Linked DNA regions of Arabidopsis thaliana. The protein of the gene in region 1 interacts with the protein of each later gene in a pairwise test. Each region holds a gene or a part of one and is shown in the gene's direction. Other genes may lie near its edges.

Region 1 (7,206 bases):
ACTAGTCTTTTATAAAAAAAGAGTTTATCACTAACACTAATCTAAATCACATCAGAACCATTAACGATCTAGCCAATTCGAATTTCATAATCCGAATTCTTGAACTGAAGTTAGACATATCTATGAGCACATGAAAATGTTCAACAATCACTAGCAAGAAGCAAAGAATCTATTTAAGGAAGAAGCGAATCTAAATGGTTTTAGAAGACATTACCATCAGTTTCAAGGCAGATTCGGCACTGAATTTGTTCACCAGGTCCTCCAGCTTCGAGATCGATCTCGGAAGGCTCGACCATCGGCGACGGTGGAACCAACGGCGACAATTCCAGTTCGTCCGCCATTCAATTTCGAAATCTGGGTAAAACCCACGAATACCCAGAAAGAGAGAATAGAAAAGATCGAGACTTCGTCGAGCTATGATCCGATTTCGTTAGTTTAGCATTTATCGGTAGGTTTTTGTTGCCGTTAAACAAGTATGTGAATTGACCCGTCACTCACCGGTTCTTCGCCGGCACACAAAAACCAGAAATGTTGTATCTTTTTCCTTTTCTGTATTTTGACGTTTTTGCCCCTCTACTAATTCATGTTAAAAAAAAAAATTATGTGTTGCAAAAAAAAAAGCATGTCTGAGCCCGGGTTCGAACCGGGGACCTCTAGTGTGTGAGACTAGCGTGATAACCGACTACACCACCCAGACGTTTTTGTTAGACTCTTTACTTTATTATAAATATACTTAAATAATCTAGTGTTCTCTGGTGCACCCTATTTTAGAGGAGTTACTCTATTCAGAGTGTTTTTTTTGGTAGCCACTGCCGTCAACAATGGCGAAAGAAGGAGAAGAACGTAAGAAGGAGAAGAAAGAGAAGAAGGAGAGGAAGGAGAGGAAGCGTCGCGAAGCTGAAGAACTCGCTGTAAGAGAGAAGAAAATCTCAAAAAAACATAAATCGAAATCCAAAGAGGAAGAGAAACCAGAGAAATCAAAGAAGAAATCGAAGAAATACGAAGAAGTAGAAGAAGAGGAGAAATCTCCATCTCCATCTCCATCTCCTAAGAAATCGAAGGAGAGTAAGAAGAAACATAAGAGATCATCAGATGAATCCGAAGAGATCGTCGATTCAAAGCCTGTTACGGTCCCGATTGTTACCATTGAGTCTGATTCTGATTTCGAATTCGATAAGGAAGATATTAAGAATCTACTTGAATCTTACTCTAAAGAGGAGCTTATTAACCTAATTTACAAAACTGCTGAGAAAGGTTCTAAATTGATCTCAGCAGTGTTTGAATCAGCGGATAGAGATAGTTCTCAACGGAACATATTCGTGCGTGGTCTTGGATGGGATACAACGCATGAGAATCTCAAGGCGGCTTTTGAGGTTTATGGGGAGATAACGGAATGTTCTGTGGTTATGGATAAAGATACAGGAAGAGCTAAAGGTTTTGGCTTTGTGTTGTTTAAGACGCGTAAAGGAGCGAGAGCGGCGTTGAAGAATCCGGAGAAGAGAATGTATAATCGAACTGTTAGTTGTTTACCAGCTAGGCCGTTTAATTCTGGAAAGCCACGAGAACAACAACAACCGGTTGAGTCTGTGAAGATTGATTTGAGTCATACGGGTAATCAGAGTGAAATGGCTTTGCCTGGGATTGATTTGGGTCATGGACTTGATAAGGGACATCAGCAGCAGCAGAATATGTCAATGTATGCTGGACAGAACATGCCCTTTTATGGACATTCTCAGCCTCCTCCTGGTTTTAATCCTATGTATGGTGCAATGATGGGTAATCCGATGGTTGCTGGTTTACAGAATTATCGTATGTTTGGCTCGGGTATGATGAATCAAGGACCTATGATGCCACCGAATCATATGGGAATGGTGGGACAATATGTTGGTGATGGTAATGTTAACGGTGTTGGTGCGGGTGCTGGTGCTGGTGCTGGTTTTGATGGTGAACGTGCTTGGTATCTGAGATAAGAGAACCCAAGTGGTATGACCATGTTCTCTGATATTTCAAGTTATAGATTAGGCTAATGATTAGTCCGGTATCTTCGACTCCAACTTGATATTTTGGGAATTGCAGGAGTTTTTTTTGCGGATCTTTATTTTCTATGCCTGATGTTTCAAACCTACTTTTTTAGTTTCATTATTTATAGTCTCTTTTAACGAGGTATCTACCCCTATATGAGCCATTTTGAGGGAGATGTGTGCTCAAAGGATGAATTTTCTGTTGCTCTCTGGAAGTCTGTCATTGGTGTTCTGCTCTGTTCTCATAAACCAGTGAAATGTGGTCATTTTGTCTAGAAGATTTAGTTACTAGGATCAATATTGGTTTAAAGTAGTTTGCTATCTCTTTGTTTTCCCTTTTGGAGTCCCCCATTATGGTCTTCTGTCTTCTCCTTACCCATCAAACTCACGTCTGGTTTTCTTCTGTGGCATGGCGTATGTTTTTCTCTTTTGTTTTTCCTTGTTTTTGGTTTTATGTTTTCCCGCATTTTCATTGAATATCTGTTCGCTATAGCTGGAGAAGAAGCTTATGACATTTATAGTTTTGTCCACTATATGTCATAACTGCCAAAAGTCTGTATCTTCCAGCTGCAGTTGTCTTGAGACCCGTTTGTAGGATCAGACATAATGGTTTTACATTCTTGTTTTAAATCTGTCTTTTTGAGTACTGGAAAAAGTTTTGGGACTCTTTCAAAAGCTTCAAGTTGATTTTCTCTGGAATAAACAACCTGAGTTTTCTTTCCTTCAAGCATTGTTTTCTTCCCCATAGGTTTTTATAAGCTTCTCAATCTCTTTCATCACATTCCTCTTTTATGGTAGTGTCGCCCCTTTCTCTTTTGTATTTAAGAGTCCATTTTGATATCAGTTGCCAAGTTTTCTTGCCTAAGTTCAAGATTGTTTTTGGTCATCGGTACTTGGACCCAATTTGTTTTTCACCTTACATAGCTTTGTTCTGGATTTACCTTTTTTTTACCTGCTCGTTATTCATATTCTATATAACTCTGGTTATGGTAGCAAAGCATACTTGTTTTTTTTTTTTTTTTCTTTGGATTTTCACAATGACCTCACAGTGACCGATGATGCGAATGCTTGTTTTCTTAAGAGGATCAATCTTGTTTTCAGTTTTTCGATTTCTTAAGAGGATCAATCTTGTTTCTCGGTTTTTGGTCTTCTCTGCAGCTATCCATCCATCCATATGAATCAACTCGTATTAATCTATAGTATGCTTCAGCTAAATCAACTTTGGTTTGGTTTTGGTCATTTGATTTCGTTGTTTTGTGATCATGATCTTATGAGGGCTTTGTTTTTCTTTCCAATGGGGAAACTCTGAAAATCTTAAGAACAAAAACAAAACCCTCTCTAAGATCTCGGTGACTATTTTTTTAGTTTCTCATAACACATAAAGATAAAAAAGAAAGAAAAAAAAGTTTCAACTGGTGAATGAATAAACAAGTAGCAGAGCGACACCACCAATATGGCTAAAACCTCTGCCTAGCCAGGAATCTTTTCTGACGGCGCTCTAAAAGAAAAGTACCACAAAGTTCACACCCCGTAAAGTTAGGGAGCTTATGGTATTCCGGTTGATGTATAGCCATCATAACTTAAAGCCAGCATCTTGCCATGTAACCTCTACAAAGATCTAAGGCCTTATCTTAAATATAAAGCAAATATTTAAAAATATGTAAAATAATAAAAATATTCAAAATAAACCAATCCAAAAATAATCTAAATATTTGAAAATATATTCAAAGCAAAATACTCGAATAAAAAAAAAATTAAACTGAAAAAATCGGAAAAACGACATCTCGAGGATAAAGTAAATCGAACTCTTGACCCGAGGGGAAACAGGAAACTGAAATCAAAAATCAAAAATCAAAATCCCTAAAAGCTTCTTGACTCGTTTATCCTCTACTACAATGGCGAAAACCCTAGACAAATCTAAGAAGCGCAAACTCGTGAAATCCAAATCCACGAATTTCGATAAGAAACAGAAGATTAACAAACAACAACAACAACCAGAATCCTCAACGCCATATTCAAGTTCAAGCTCCAGCTCTGATTCTAGCGATTCCGAATCAGACAACGAATTCGACCCAGAAGAGCTCCGTGAGCTTCTACAACCTTATTCCAAGGACCAGCTTGTCGATCTAGTTTGTTCCGCTTCTCGAATCGGATCTTCGATCTATTCCGCCGTCGTAGAAGCCGCAGATCGTGATGTTACACACAGGAAAATCTTCGTTTATGGTCTTCCATGGGAGACGACTCGCGAGACTCTTGTTGGAGTCTTTGAAGGTTATGGTGAGATTGAAGAGTGTACCGTTGTTATAGATAAGGCTACTGGTAAGGCTAAAGGGTTTGGATTTGTTATGTTCAAGACTAGGAAAGGAGCTAAAGAAGCTCTTAAAGAACCGAAGAAGAGGATTCTTAATAGAACTGCCACTTGCCAGCTTGCTTCTATGGGTCCTGCGGCTTCAGGAAAGGGGCATGATCAACCTGGTCCGGTGAAGATTAGTATGGGTTCGATGGCTAATCATGGACAGCCTCAGCAACAGCAGGTACAAGGTCAACATGTGTTTAACGGTGGTGGAATGGCTGCTTCGCCGTTTATGTTAGGGAACCAATACCATCCGCTTTATGGAGCTGGGATGTTGGGAAATCCAGCTTTAGCAGCAGCAGCAGCAGCTGGGGGAGGTTACATGTATCCGATGTTAGCGGGTGCTCTAGCACATGGCGGGTTGGGTTCTGATATGGTACAGTCTAGTCAAATGGGTGGGATTGGTGTTGATCCAAGCGTTGGTGCTGCTGGTCTTTCAGCTCTAGGTTCTTACTTTAGAGGTCAGAGTCTGCCTAGTACTTATCCTGATTCGGATGCTGGTGGAAAAAGAGGGACGGGTAAAGATTCGGATGCTGGTGGCTCCTCCTTTCATGGCTACTCAAACTATTCATGGTACGTTCACTGAAACCTTTGGTGTTTTGTAGCAATGTTTGTGCTAATATTGTGGTTTGAATGTCTTTGGATAAGCATAAATTCATTGTAGCTCCGTCATGTGTAGATAAATGGATTAAGGCTTTTGTGGTAGTACCGGAATTTTATCTGACATTATTATGCCTCTCTAGTCAAATAGTTGGCTTAAATGCCTAAATATGTATATTCCTAGGAGGAACTGCTACAGGAATTAAATACCTAAATTATGTTCTAGAGGTAGGTTAGCATTGTCATCGGTTGCCGTAATTCATTATTCATGAATCTTGCTTCGACTCTATTTCAAGTAGATGCAATGTGACCCACCATACTTTTGTTTTTTTTGTTTTCTCCATTATTTTTCCTTTTGTTGGTTTATGTTTTGTTTTCTTTTCTTTACTGTCCCTGGTTTTACAGTTTTCTCAAGTGCCATTTGTTTTATCGAAGTTAGTTTCTCTATAGGTTGGTGATGGTGGGGACGAATATTGTTACATTCTTTTTGTCTCTTGGCTTTTTTTGTTTTAGTGTTGCACTGGGTTTTATAAACTGAACGTCCACCATCTCTCCACTCATCTGGTTTTGGTGCTAACGTCTTTAAACGGACTGTAAACTATAGCATCTGTTCATGCTGTTGCACTCATGGTTTTAGACTTAAGTTTGAGTTTTAACATTTTTTTTATGTTTGTCCCTTTGATTTCTATTGTTTTCACTTTTCGGGGTTATCTTACCAGAAAGATAGAGCATTGCTCTTGTTTCCATATGTTTTTCTTTTTGTCTTCAGCTTTTGATAGAGTTATGTTTTGTTTTGTTTTCTTGAACTCCAACTTTTGCAGATGGTGTGGGCTGAGCATGAGAATGATAAACATGCAGTTTCTGGGGATTTCTTTTTAACATTTCTATCAAAGTCAGTACGTTTTAGTTTTTTTTTGTATTGTTTTTTCTTCCTTTCTTTTTTTTTCTGTTTGATGTCACTCTTGTCCGATATCATACGATAGACAGTCTGTGGCTCAAGTAATATCATTGTGATTATTCGTTAAAGACCTCTGTGCAATCTGTATTGTGACCTCTGGGGAAAAAGGTTTGCTCTATGAGGACTCAATAGGATTTAACTTTCTTTTAACTATTTATGACAGCTAAAGTTGACCCTTGAAGTTGTTATATAAATTTGATCGCATTTGATGACCTCATAGAGATATGCATATATCATTAATGATGGGCTAAAGAAAAGAAAGCTGGTGCCATTGGATCTGAAAATGTTACACTAAACAAAGTCTTGGTTTATGGAACAACAAAGACACAGTTGAAGCTAAAGCTGATGATGCCTTAAGATTCTCTCCTCTTCAGGTAAAAACCGATAACAAGTTTTGATTTTTGAATCTAAAATGTTAGGAGATCAAAGCGGTTTGTTCACTTCTTCCTCTTCTTTGGTGGCTGAAGCGCTTCCTCATCATCTTCATCTTCTTCCTCTTCCTCCTCCTCTACCTCCGCATCCTCATCGTCGTCTTCTTCACCACCATCATCATTCTCGTCTTCATCCTCCTCCTCATCTTCATCATCGTTCTCATGGTTATCATCATCCTCGTCATCGTTACCATCATCCCCTTCAGGTTCATCATCATTATCTCCAGCTTCACCGTTCAAATCAGGATCACTTACCGGTCCTTTCTTGGTCTCCTTTCCTTCTGCATCATCTGCACTGCCTTCTTCGTCTTCTCCTCCATCATCACCACTATCATCATTGTTTCCATTGCCTTCCACTGCATCAACCACCTCATATCCATTCTCTATAACATCACCCTTCAAGACAGTAACCTGCAGCTTCATATTCATTTTATCACTACCAGAAACAATCTTTTACCAAGTTAACATGATTTTACAAATTGGGCCGACATACTAAATTAGGACATGGGCTTCTTCTAGACATTAAATTTGAAAAACTTGGAAGCATAATATATGGAATATACCTTTTTGATTTTTTTTGGACCTACAATTTATAATTTAGATTTTAAAAATCTATCTTAATATTCCCCATTAAAAGCAACCGTCCTCAACTAATAGCTATTATTATATACATACCCTCACAATATTTAACCAAAACTTTTTAATTTTATATATTTTTCCAACCACCCATTCTGATGAAGTAACGCTTCAAGTCGGTCAAGATTTAGTTTTGTAGCCAAAAAAATTTGTGTGAAACTTTTGTGTAGAAAAAAATCTATTTTTATAAAGTTGTTGTTTTGTGCG
Region 2 (8,543 bases), 6.8 Mb from region 1:
GAGAATCTATAAATTTCTTGAGATCAGTGTCGAGATACTCAAAAACGAGATAGAGATTGGATTTGGGAGAGTGAGAAACAGTCGAATCTTTCGATTGAATAACATGTTCGACGCAGAGGAGACGAACGATGTAGATTGATTGAGAAAGCATTTGGAGAAGAGAGATCTCACGGAGAGCCGTTGGTGGTATACCTTCTTCGTCCATTTCGAGCCTAGTTTTCTTCAGAGCGACGAGTTTTCCGGTGGTTTTCTCCATTGCTTTGTAGACTTTTCCATAGGTTCCTTCACCGACCTTTTCGAGCTTCTCGTATTTCTCCATTGATGGAGGATTTTGAATTGAGACTGATGAATGTTTTTTGTTTGGGTCTTATAAACCCTAAAGCCCCTTTTCGATTTTAGATCTGGTAAATAAAGGCGCCTCTTTGCTATAACGTTTAACATTTGAATCCCTCGCACGCTTCACACGTACCAATAATATTTTATTAGTCAAAGACTCAAAGTCATTTTAAACAGATAAGTATAGTATAAGATATTTGCTTGATTATGTTTATAGATTTCAATTCATTATCCATGGTGAATGTTTAGTTGAATGAATCTATGCATGATCTTTGATGTAAAGCCGGCCCTGAGTACAAAAAGCTAAGCTCATGCTTGCAGCCACAACCCATAATAAAGATTTTTCAGTCATTTATTTTGCTAAACTATTAATATTACTTGAAGAGTCGATCATTTCGCATTAATTGGTTGAAACTTCGAGCTTTTCCAACTTCATTTTAACTTTAATCTAGTATTTAACATACTAATTAATAAGACTATAACTGTTTTAGCTTGTATCCCATTAGTTTTCTCCTTATACGTTAATGTTCAATGTTTGGCACAAACTCAAAAAAAGAATTTCTTACTACGTAGTTTTTTTTCACTTACTCAACCAATTGGAAAAATGTTTAGGTTTGATTTTTTGTGTTCGAATTTGTAACTTCAATTATTTTGGGACTGTGAACTCTTACTCATTATTCATTAATGGTGGGTTGTTTCTTGTGTTCTAGGCTTCTAGTATACATGATTCAACTTCATATGATATTGATTCAGTTTCACATTTTTGATTTATTTCAACTTTATATTCTTCTTACACTCATTCCAATTTCATGTATGGTAATTGCATCAGTTTTGATCGATAGTTACATTAAGAAAACCATTTCTTTTTACAATAAAGATACTACAACAACAACAAAAATTCTGACTAGGTCTACGAATGTGCAAGGTATGCAATTTCACAAACTCATAAAAATCATCATAAGAAGTTCTATGTAAAGGGGAAAGAAAAACAAGATTATAAACAAATTGTGTGTTTCATGTGGAAACTAAACAATGGCTGAATATTAAAAAATTATTGGACTACTATACATAAAAGAAAATTACAATAATGAAAAAGAAAACAAAGATAATATTCAATGATAGGGCATTGACTAAACGAAAGAAAATGGCTTAAAGACTTTAAAGTTGATTATGAAAAACCGTTACTGATTTACTAGGGTCAATAAACTTATTTGCAACCATTTTATTAAGGGAATTTAATGAAAAAAACCGTCAGCTTTGGTCAGATCTATTTTTAAATTCTGAACTATGTTTTTAGTAAAACAAACTCTGAACTAAAACCTGTTAATAAACTTAACCCCATAGTAATTAAATATTAATGGGATATTAATTTCCAAAAATCGACCAAAGAACAATGACAGAATCCGTGATCCAACTGAAGATCGTCCACCTCAAAAAGTTCTTTATACACGTGAAAAAGTTTAAATGGTAAAATAGAGAACAATGAATTATGTTTCACAAGATCTTCATTTTCAAATTATTAAATTTAATCTTTGCATATTTAGACTTGCAGCAATTGTCAACAAGTCGGACACAACAAACGTTCATGCAAGTGTAAAGCAATGCCAAAACCACCCAAGAAACCTCAAGGACGACCAAGGAAAAAACAGAAAACAATGGATGAAGAGAACCCTATCACTCAGCCAATACAATCTTCTCTTCAAAGTTAATGCTTGACAAGTCTTTACTTTAGAATATCTTGTCCATCTGAAACGATTGTTTTTTTTTTGTGACAAATATTGTTGTGTTGCAACAGCTTCGATAGTTATGTTGGTTGGATTTATTTAAGCATGACTCTTTGGATTATTTTAAGTTATTGTGTCTTTCTTTCAGCTTTTAAAATCCAAACTAATTAAGCAATTCAAAATTATTTAGAATGTTTTTTTGTAATAAATTCAAAACAGTTTTAAAGAACATCACGTGGTTTTTGCGCTAAATACAAATGTCTCATTGTTTTCTTTTTAAAAAATTAATATCTCATTAATATTTAATTACTGTGAAGTTAAGTTTATTAACAGGTTTTAGTTTAGGATTTGTTTTACTAAAAACATAGTTTAGGGTTTAAAAATGGATCAGGACAAAGTTGAGAGTTTTTTTCATTAAATTCCTTTTTATTAATATTTTTTCTCTTCCAAAATATTCATAAATTGCTTTGTCTTATAAAATTCTGTACACGTAAAATGGTTTAATTGTGTGCGTTACATTTGGGGGACTTGGAAGACCATGAGCATAATAAGAGCACTCAAAATCATCACCACCTAACAAAAAATTGCAGAAACACATTTATTGTTAATAATTAATAATTAAAAAATGTCCAGGCCAAAAAGACAGCTCAAATGAGCGATTGCATGGTTGACACGTGTAAAGTTTTAGCGGCGTTAAAAGATACGGTCTACGTAGTCACGCACACACACCAAAGTTTCTCTCCATTTTCTTATTTCCTTATTTATTTAATTATAATACAGAATCAATCAAACGGTGACGGTTGAATTATCACCAAAAAATAATCACTAAATTTTTCAACCTTTGTAACAGAGAGATCCACTCTGTCACTTTAAACTTTTTAGCTGATTTTTTCTGCCTGAGTTTAATTAAAAATCTCCTTTATGGAAAATAAAAATAACTTTTAATCAAAGAAACAAAAAAAAAAAGAGATTTTTCAGACAGAAGAAAAAAAGAAAAAAAAAGTCTGGCGTCTTCTGCAGAATTCACATTTGGTGTCTGCTGCTGGCGTTGGTCTTTCTCTTTCTCTTTCTACTTTTTTTTGGTTCTGCGATTTCCATCAAAACCCTTTTCCCAACAATCTTGGTTTTGTACAGAGAAGAAGAAGAAGAAGAAAGGCACACAAAATAACCCATGTCTGGTTTATACAATAACTCATCTTACTTCTCTCCTGCTCGAGCTGCTTCTCCTCAGATTAGAAGCACTCCTGAGATCGACAGGTTTGTTCCTAAACTCTGATTTCGAGACACTCTTTTTATTTTGGTTTTATGTGAAAACCGATCTGTGTTCTGTTTCTTGCTTGAACAGCTCTCAGTACTTGACGGAGCTTCTCGCTGAACATCAAAAGCTTACTCCTTTTATGCAGGTCCTACCCATATGTAGCCGTCTATTGAATCAAGGTTCCTCCTTTTCATTCTGATTCGGATCTTAATTTTTCAACTGTATATACCCTTTCTGTTTTCACTAGATTGGGATGACTTAAAGTCCTTAAAAGTTTCTTTCTTTTTGTCAGCCAATTTTCTTACAAAATGTTCAGTTTTAGTTAATTCAATTAGTCCATGAGAGTGAGATCAAGTTCATTGATTTGATTTCTTCAATTTGTCTCATTGAATCCAGCATTACCTACGTTAGTACTACCCTTAGTGTCAATTGCATAATATGAATCTTTGTTGATGTGCAGAGATGTTCAGGGTCTCTGGAATGATGTCTAACCAAGGATTTGGTGATTTTGATAGACTTCGACACAGAAGTCCCAGCCCTATGGCTTCTTCTAATCTTATGTCTAATGTCTCTAATACCGGGTTAGGAGGCTGGAACGGCCTCTCTCAGGAGGTATCATCATCATCATCATCTACTGTTTCTTAACTCAACCATCCTCTTATATTCAGTTTCACCTTCATTCACACCGTCTTAGTTTTTATGCTAGATTACTACAATCATTTAGTTTAGCTTCTGTCTTTCGCAATGCTGATTGATATTACCTGTGCTTCTGCTAAGCATGATGAGATGAGCTAAAACACTCAGTTTCTTGCAGAGACTTAGTGGAACACCTGGAATGACAATGGATTGGCAAGGTGCACCTGGAAGCCCCAGTTCATACACCGTCAAAAGGATATTGCGTCTGGAGATTCCTGTAGATAACTATCCTAATGTGAGTACTTCTAGTCATCTTGATGTGTTTGCTCATCATTTGCTCCATATTTGATGATAATATTTCTCAACTTTCCATTCTTATTTCCTCTGTTTTATCAGTTCAATTTTGTTGGACGACTTCTCGGCCCTAGAGGCAACTCGTTAAAACGCGTTGAAGCTACCACCGGTTGCCGAGTATTCATCAGAGGGAAAGGGTCAATCAAGGATCCCGAAAAGGTGAGAGCCATGAATGAACCATTTGAGACTGTGTCAAACACTTTCACAGTTTAACCTACTGGTTGGCTCTGAAATGATGTTCTGGTAATTAAAAGAGTATTGAATAACATATCGTATGATTGTGTTTTTGGATGATACAATGTAGGAAGATAAATTAAGGGGAAGACCTGGCTATGAACACTTGAATGAGCAGCTTCACATCTTAATAGAGGCAGATCTTCCAGCTAGTATTGTGGAGATACGTCTGCGACAAGCTCAAGAAATTATAGAAGAGTTACTAAAGCCTGTGGTACATTTTCCTCCTCCACTACTCTCAATTATTTATTCTGTGATATGTTTTGGTATCAGTACAAGGCATTAAGAGAATAGTATAGTCTTCCTTGGAGGGTATTAAATCGAAAGGACACGTTTTTATTTTAGGTTCTTCCCTAGCTGTTTTGCCCCATTGAGACTCTATAGTTATTACCTGTAGGGCCTCTATTCTTTGTCTTAGCGTTCAGATTTCAGTACCATTTTTGGAATTTGTGGCTAGTGTTCAATTATGCAGACATGTGTGACCACTTCACCAGTCAAAGTAGCAATTGGTGTAATCGGAAACGCCAAAAAAGCCATCTTTTTTTCAAACACTTCATTTTTATGTCTTTGATATATTCTTGGTTAGTACCATAACATTTTCTTGGTTGTTTGTAATAATGAAGGACGAGTCGCAAGATTTCATAAAGAGACAGCAGCTGAGGGAACTGGCATTGCTAAACTCGAACAACCTGAGGGAAGAGAGTCCGGGGCCAAGCGGAGGTGGAAGCGTTTCGCCTTTCAATTCAAGTGGTAAACGCCCGAAAACAGGATGCTAAGTAGCGTTTTGTACGTCTCGCCCAAAACGCTCCTTCAAGCCTTATAATGGTTACTTCAACCAAAAGTACATGTCTGCATGCATTACACAGACGCACATGTGTATATCTGGTTTCTCCAGTAGTGGCTGCAATGGTGGTGGTCTGGTCAAGGCCTGCCCTGGTCTCTCTCGGGTGAGCGACCCTGTGGCTTTCGTTTTTCTTCTTCTTTATTTTAAACTTTTGTTTTTCTTTTTCCTCATCAAAAATTCATTACAGATTATTTAAAAAAGATTCATGCAAAAAAAAAAAAAAAGAGTATGAGATATATAATATATATAGGGAGAAAAAGATGTGGTGGCTTGGGAGGGCGTGGACTGAAAATTCTTATTGTATAAACATAAACAAAAAACACATTTATTGGATTGATTCTTATCGTTTGATTTGGTTTATTTGTTTCTTTCATATATTTTTTTGCCTAGCCCTATAGATATACCATTGAACTTATTCCTTTGATTTGAGATTCCTTATAGTGATAGTCACTTTTGTACATTTTGGGAATTTATGGGCTGGTCTCTTGAATTTGGGTGGTAAGGGCTTGTTGGTTTTGGATGGGACTAGGAGAAACTCACATCTTAACACATAGCTTAAGTTGAGACATACCCTTTGTGTATGTTGTACATATAATTGATAGGAATGGTTATAGTAAATTTTTTGATTAGGGAACGAAGTACATAGGATTAGGAATCTTGAAGGTACGATCCCCTGAATATTCTCCTTGTAAGTCACTCCATTGGTCGCCTACATTTCCCCATATCCTGTAACCTTCTTCCATCATCTCCTTTCTGATTCTTGTTTTGTATGTTGTTGCGCTTTGTCTTTTGTTATCCGCTGTCCTGCAAGTACGTAGTAATATTGTCCTCACTGACTGTGACTTTGTCTTGGTAAAAAAAAGCTTCAAAGTAAGTATGCTTCGTCCTTTTACCTCATAATCAGCCTTTCATAACCAGTGAATCCTTGGTTATGCAAATTCTCTAGTGTTGCCTGGCGAAGGGTCTCTTCGTCTCTTCCGGTTACTAGGAAAACTTTGAAGCCTGTTTCTATCAGTTTATAGAACAATTCAAGAACAGGTTGTATTGCTGGAGACTCTCCTTTCATCGCCCATGTTCTAAATCCAGTTGGATCATAAGGGTCACATCTACATGTTAACTCATCATTAGCCACAATTTTCTAACTTTTGGTATCCAAGAATCACAACATCTTAAAACTAGTTTTAGTAAAAAGAAACAAGTGTGTATACGTACCCATATCTCTTAAGCCGATAGTAAAAGACGTTTGAGAAGCAAGTATCATCAACATCCAAGATCCATGCGTCCATGCCATCACCAGGAAGGATAATCTCATTGAGATAAACTTTGATTTGGTCCACAGTCAACTGGACGTCTCTGTCATACTGACCAGCAAGCATATATACCTCAACGTAACGCAGACACTGCAGAGGAACAATGCGCCACGCACGTACATTGTTGGTCTCTACTGCTAGTCTCCAGCTTAAGCAATAGCTAGCACCATAATTTCCATCCATCGGCATCCATGTACTTGTACTGGTTGCCACTGATGATATTGTTATAAAAATGAAAAGCAACGTCTCTCTACTACACTTTTCCATTGCTCTTGAATATTCTTCCTAAGTACCCGTGAGGGTTTTATGCAAAGATAGGTAGAGATCATCATGAGTACAAAGTGTTAGGAAATACTAGTGACTAGTGAACAAAATTTGTTGAAAAGGAAAAGAACACAATACAAGAGAGCATAGAGTTGACATAAAGATAGAGATCAAGAAAGAGAGCTTGGTTGGTGAAACAAGAAAACTAAGAGGAGAAAGTAGTAATGCTTGAAAAGGGAAGATCAGAGTAATAATACCTATGATGTGGTGGTGGATCGGATCAGCTTAATAGTAATGTAGCCGTGTTATAGATTAGTATTTAAAGAGTTTTGGTTCGGTAGAAGATTCTGGATGAGGTTTCATCCACTAAGTAGCACCATTTTTACGACCAATTAACTTAATAATTATGAAGTAAGCAAAAGAATTTATTACATTAAAAATTATGATATGGGGTCAAAACCAGCACCGAACATATTCACTAACACACATCTATCGCCACTATATGTATTCCAAACACATTCACGTTAATCCTCTACTATCTCTAATAATACATCATTGCATTTACTAAGTGGCGCATATGATATCTTTTAGTTAGTATATAACAACACTAAGTGGATGATCTCACTAGTTTTTTCCTCACGTATAATATAAATTTCTATGTTTATGATATAAACCCACTTAAAGCAATTTCCATGGTACTATTCTACCCAAGTTTTAGGATTTCACTCGAGAGATAAGCTGGATGCTGTTTTGAACGATCATCTAGTTTGGTTAAACTAGTTACATGTGTAAGTGTCTCCCACAGTACATGTTATATAGTAGACAAACCAAAAATATAATCGTATAGTTTCTTAGCTAACTAGGATTGCCTTATTGCTAATTATCAAGAAATTAATGGGATTGTGCACAAATGTGTCAAACCAACAAAAAATGGACCGACCAACTACATTTATGGATTGGATGCTGACAAGGAATGGGATTGTTATTAGTTTTTGTCAACAGAAAAGTGGATGACACGTACGTAGTAGTCTAATGGAAACTAAGAGTTGTCAACGATATACTAAAGTGGCAATTCCGTTAAGAGTTGCTTTGGTTTAATCATTAAAAACTTAAAAAGAATAATTCAGCTAAAAGTCTAAAACATTCCCATTAAGCACACTAACCAATTAGCTCATCTCATTAACACTCCTTTAGATATTTTTTTTCATGTTCTCCTGTCCCTTTGAATTTTCATAGATTTGAATGCCACTCGCAACACTTTCTTCTTCTATCTCTTTACCAAAAAAAATATTGTGTGAGACAATGTTGAAGAAAATGCTTTGTGCTTTATATTTGTTCGTTGTTGGAGGGGCGGCAACCCAACTCTTAGAGATCTAATCGTGGTGTTTTAGACGAGTTAAATATTTAAATAAAATCAAACAATATATATTAGACATATCGAATTATAGATTCATAATTAATAAAATTTAGATTTTCATATTTTAGAAATAGATTTGGAGTTTAAACCTGTATATATATATTTATATATATATATATATATTATAATTATCAAAACTAAACCATTAAGAAAATATTTGGAGAAA

What was found. Proteins that work in one complex are often made in the same cells at the same time.
Region 2: the proteins of UBA1A (region 1) and AT2G38610 interact in binary tests that used the Arabidopsis thaliana proteins (3 or more experiments, as listed by UniProt).

What each region holds. Positions count from the first base shown.
Region 1 is NC_003071.7:9,387,161-9,394,366, reverse strand, and holds UBA1A (RNA-binding (RRM/RBD/RNP motifs) family protein), read left to right. Parts: upstream 1-3,860; 5' UTR 3,861-3,916; coding exon 3,917-4,960; 3' UTR 4,961-5,317; downstream 5,318-7,206. Other genes in the region: AT2G22120 (RING/FYVE/PHD zinc finger superfamily protein), read right to left, coding at 215-341; AT2G22100 (RNA-binding (RRM/RBD/RNP motifs) family protein), read left to right, coding at 822-1,970; AT2G22088 (uncharacterized protein), read right to left, coding at 5,318-5,565, 5,827-5,983; AT2G22080 (uncharacterized protein), read right to left, coding at 6,370-6,774. UniProt on the Arabidopsis thaliana protein: Acts as a component of a complex regulating the turnover of mRNAs in the nucleus. Binds with high affinity to RNA molecules that contain U-rich sequences in 3'-UTRs. May function in complex with UBP1 and contribute to the stabilization of mRNAs in the nucleus.
Region 2 is NC_003071.7:16,144,327-16,152,869, reverse strand, and holds AT2G38610 (RNA-binding KH domain-containing protein), read left to right. Parts: upstream 1-2,935; 5' UTR 2,936-3,231; coding exon 3,232-3,317; intron 3,318-3,405; coding exon 3,406-3,497; intron 3,498-3,778; coding exon 3,779-3,930; intron 3,931-4,132; coding exon 4,133-4,249; intron 4,250-4,350; coding exon 4,351-4,467; intron 4,468-4,612; coding exon 4,613-4,756; intron 4,757-5,165; coding exon 5,166-5,318; 3' UTR 5,319-5,764; downstream 5,765-8,543. Other genes in the region: CDKB1;2 (cyclin-dependent kinase B1;2), read right to left, coding at 1-319; AT2G38600 (HAD superfamily, subfamily IIIB acid phosphatase), read right to left, coding at 6,013-6,190, 6,280-6,492, 6,599-6,963.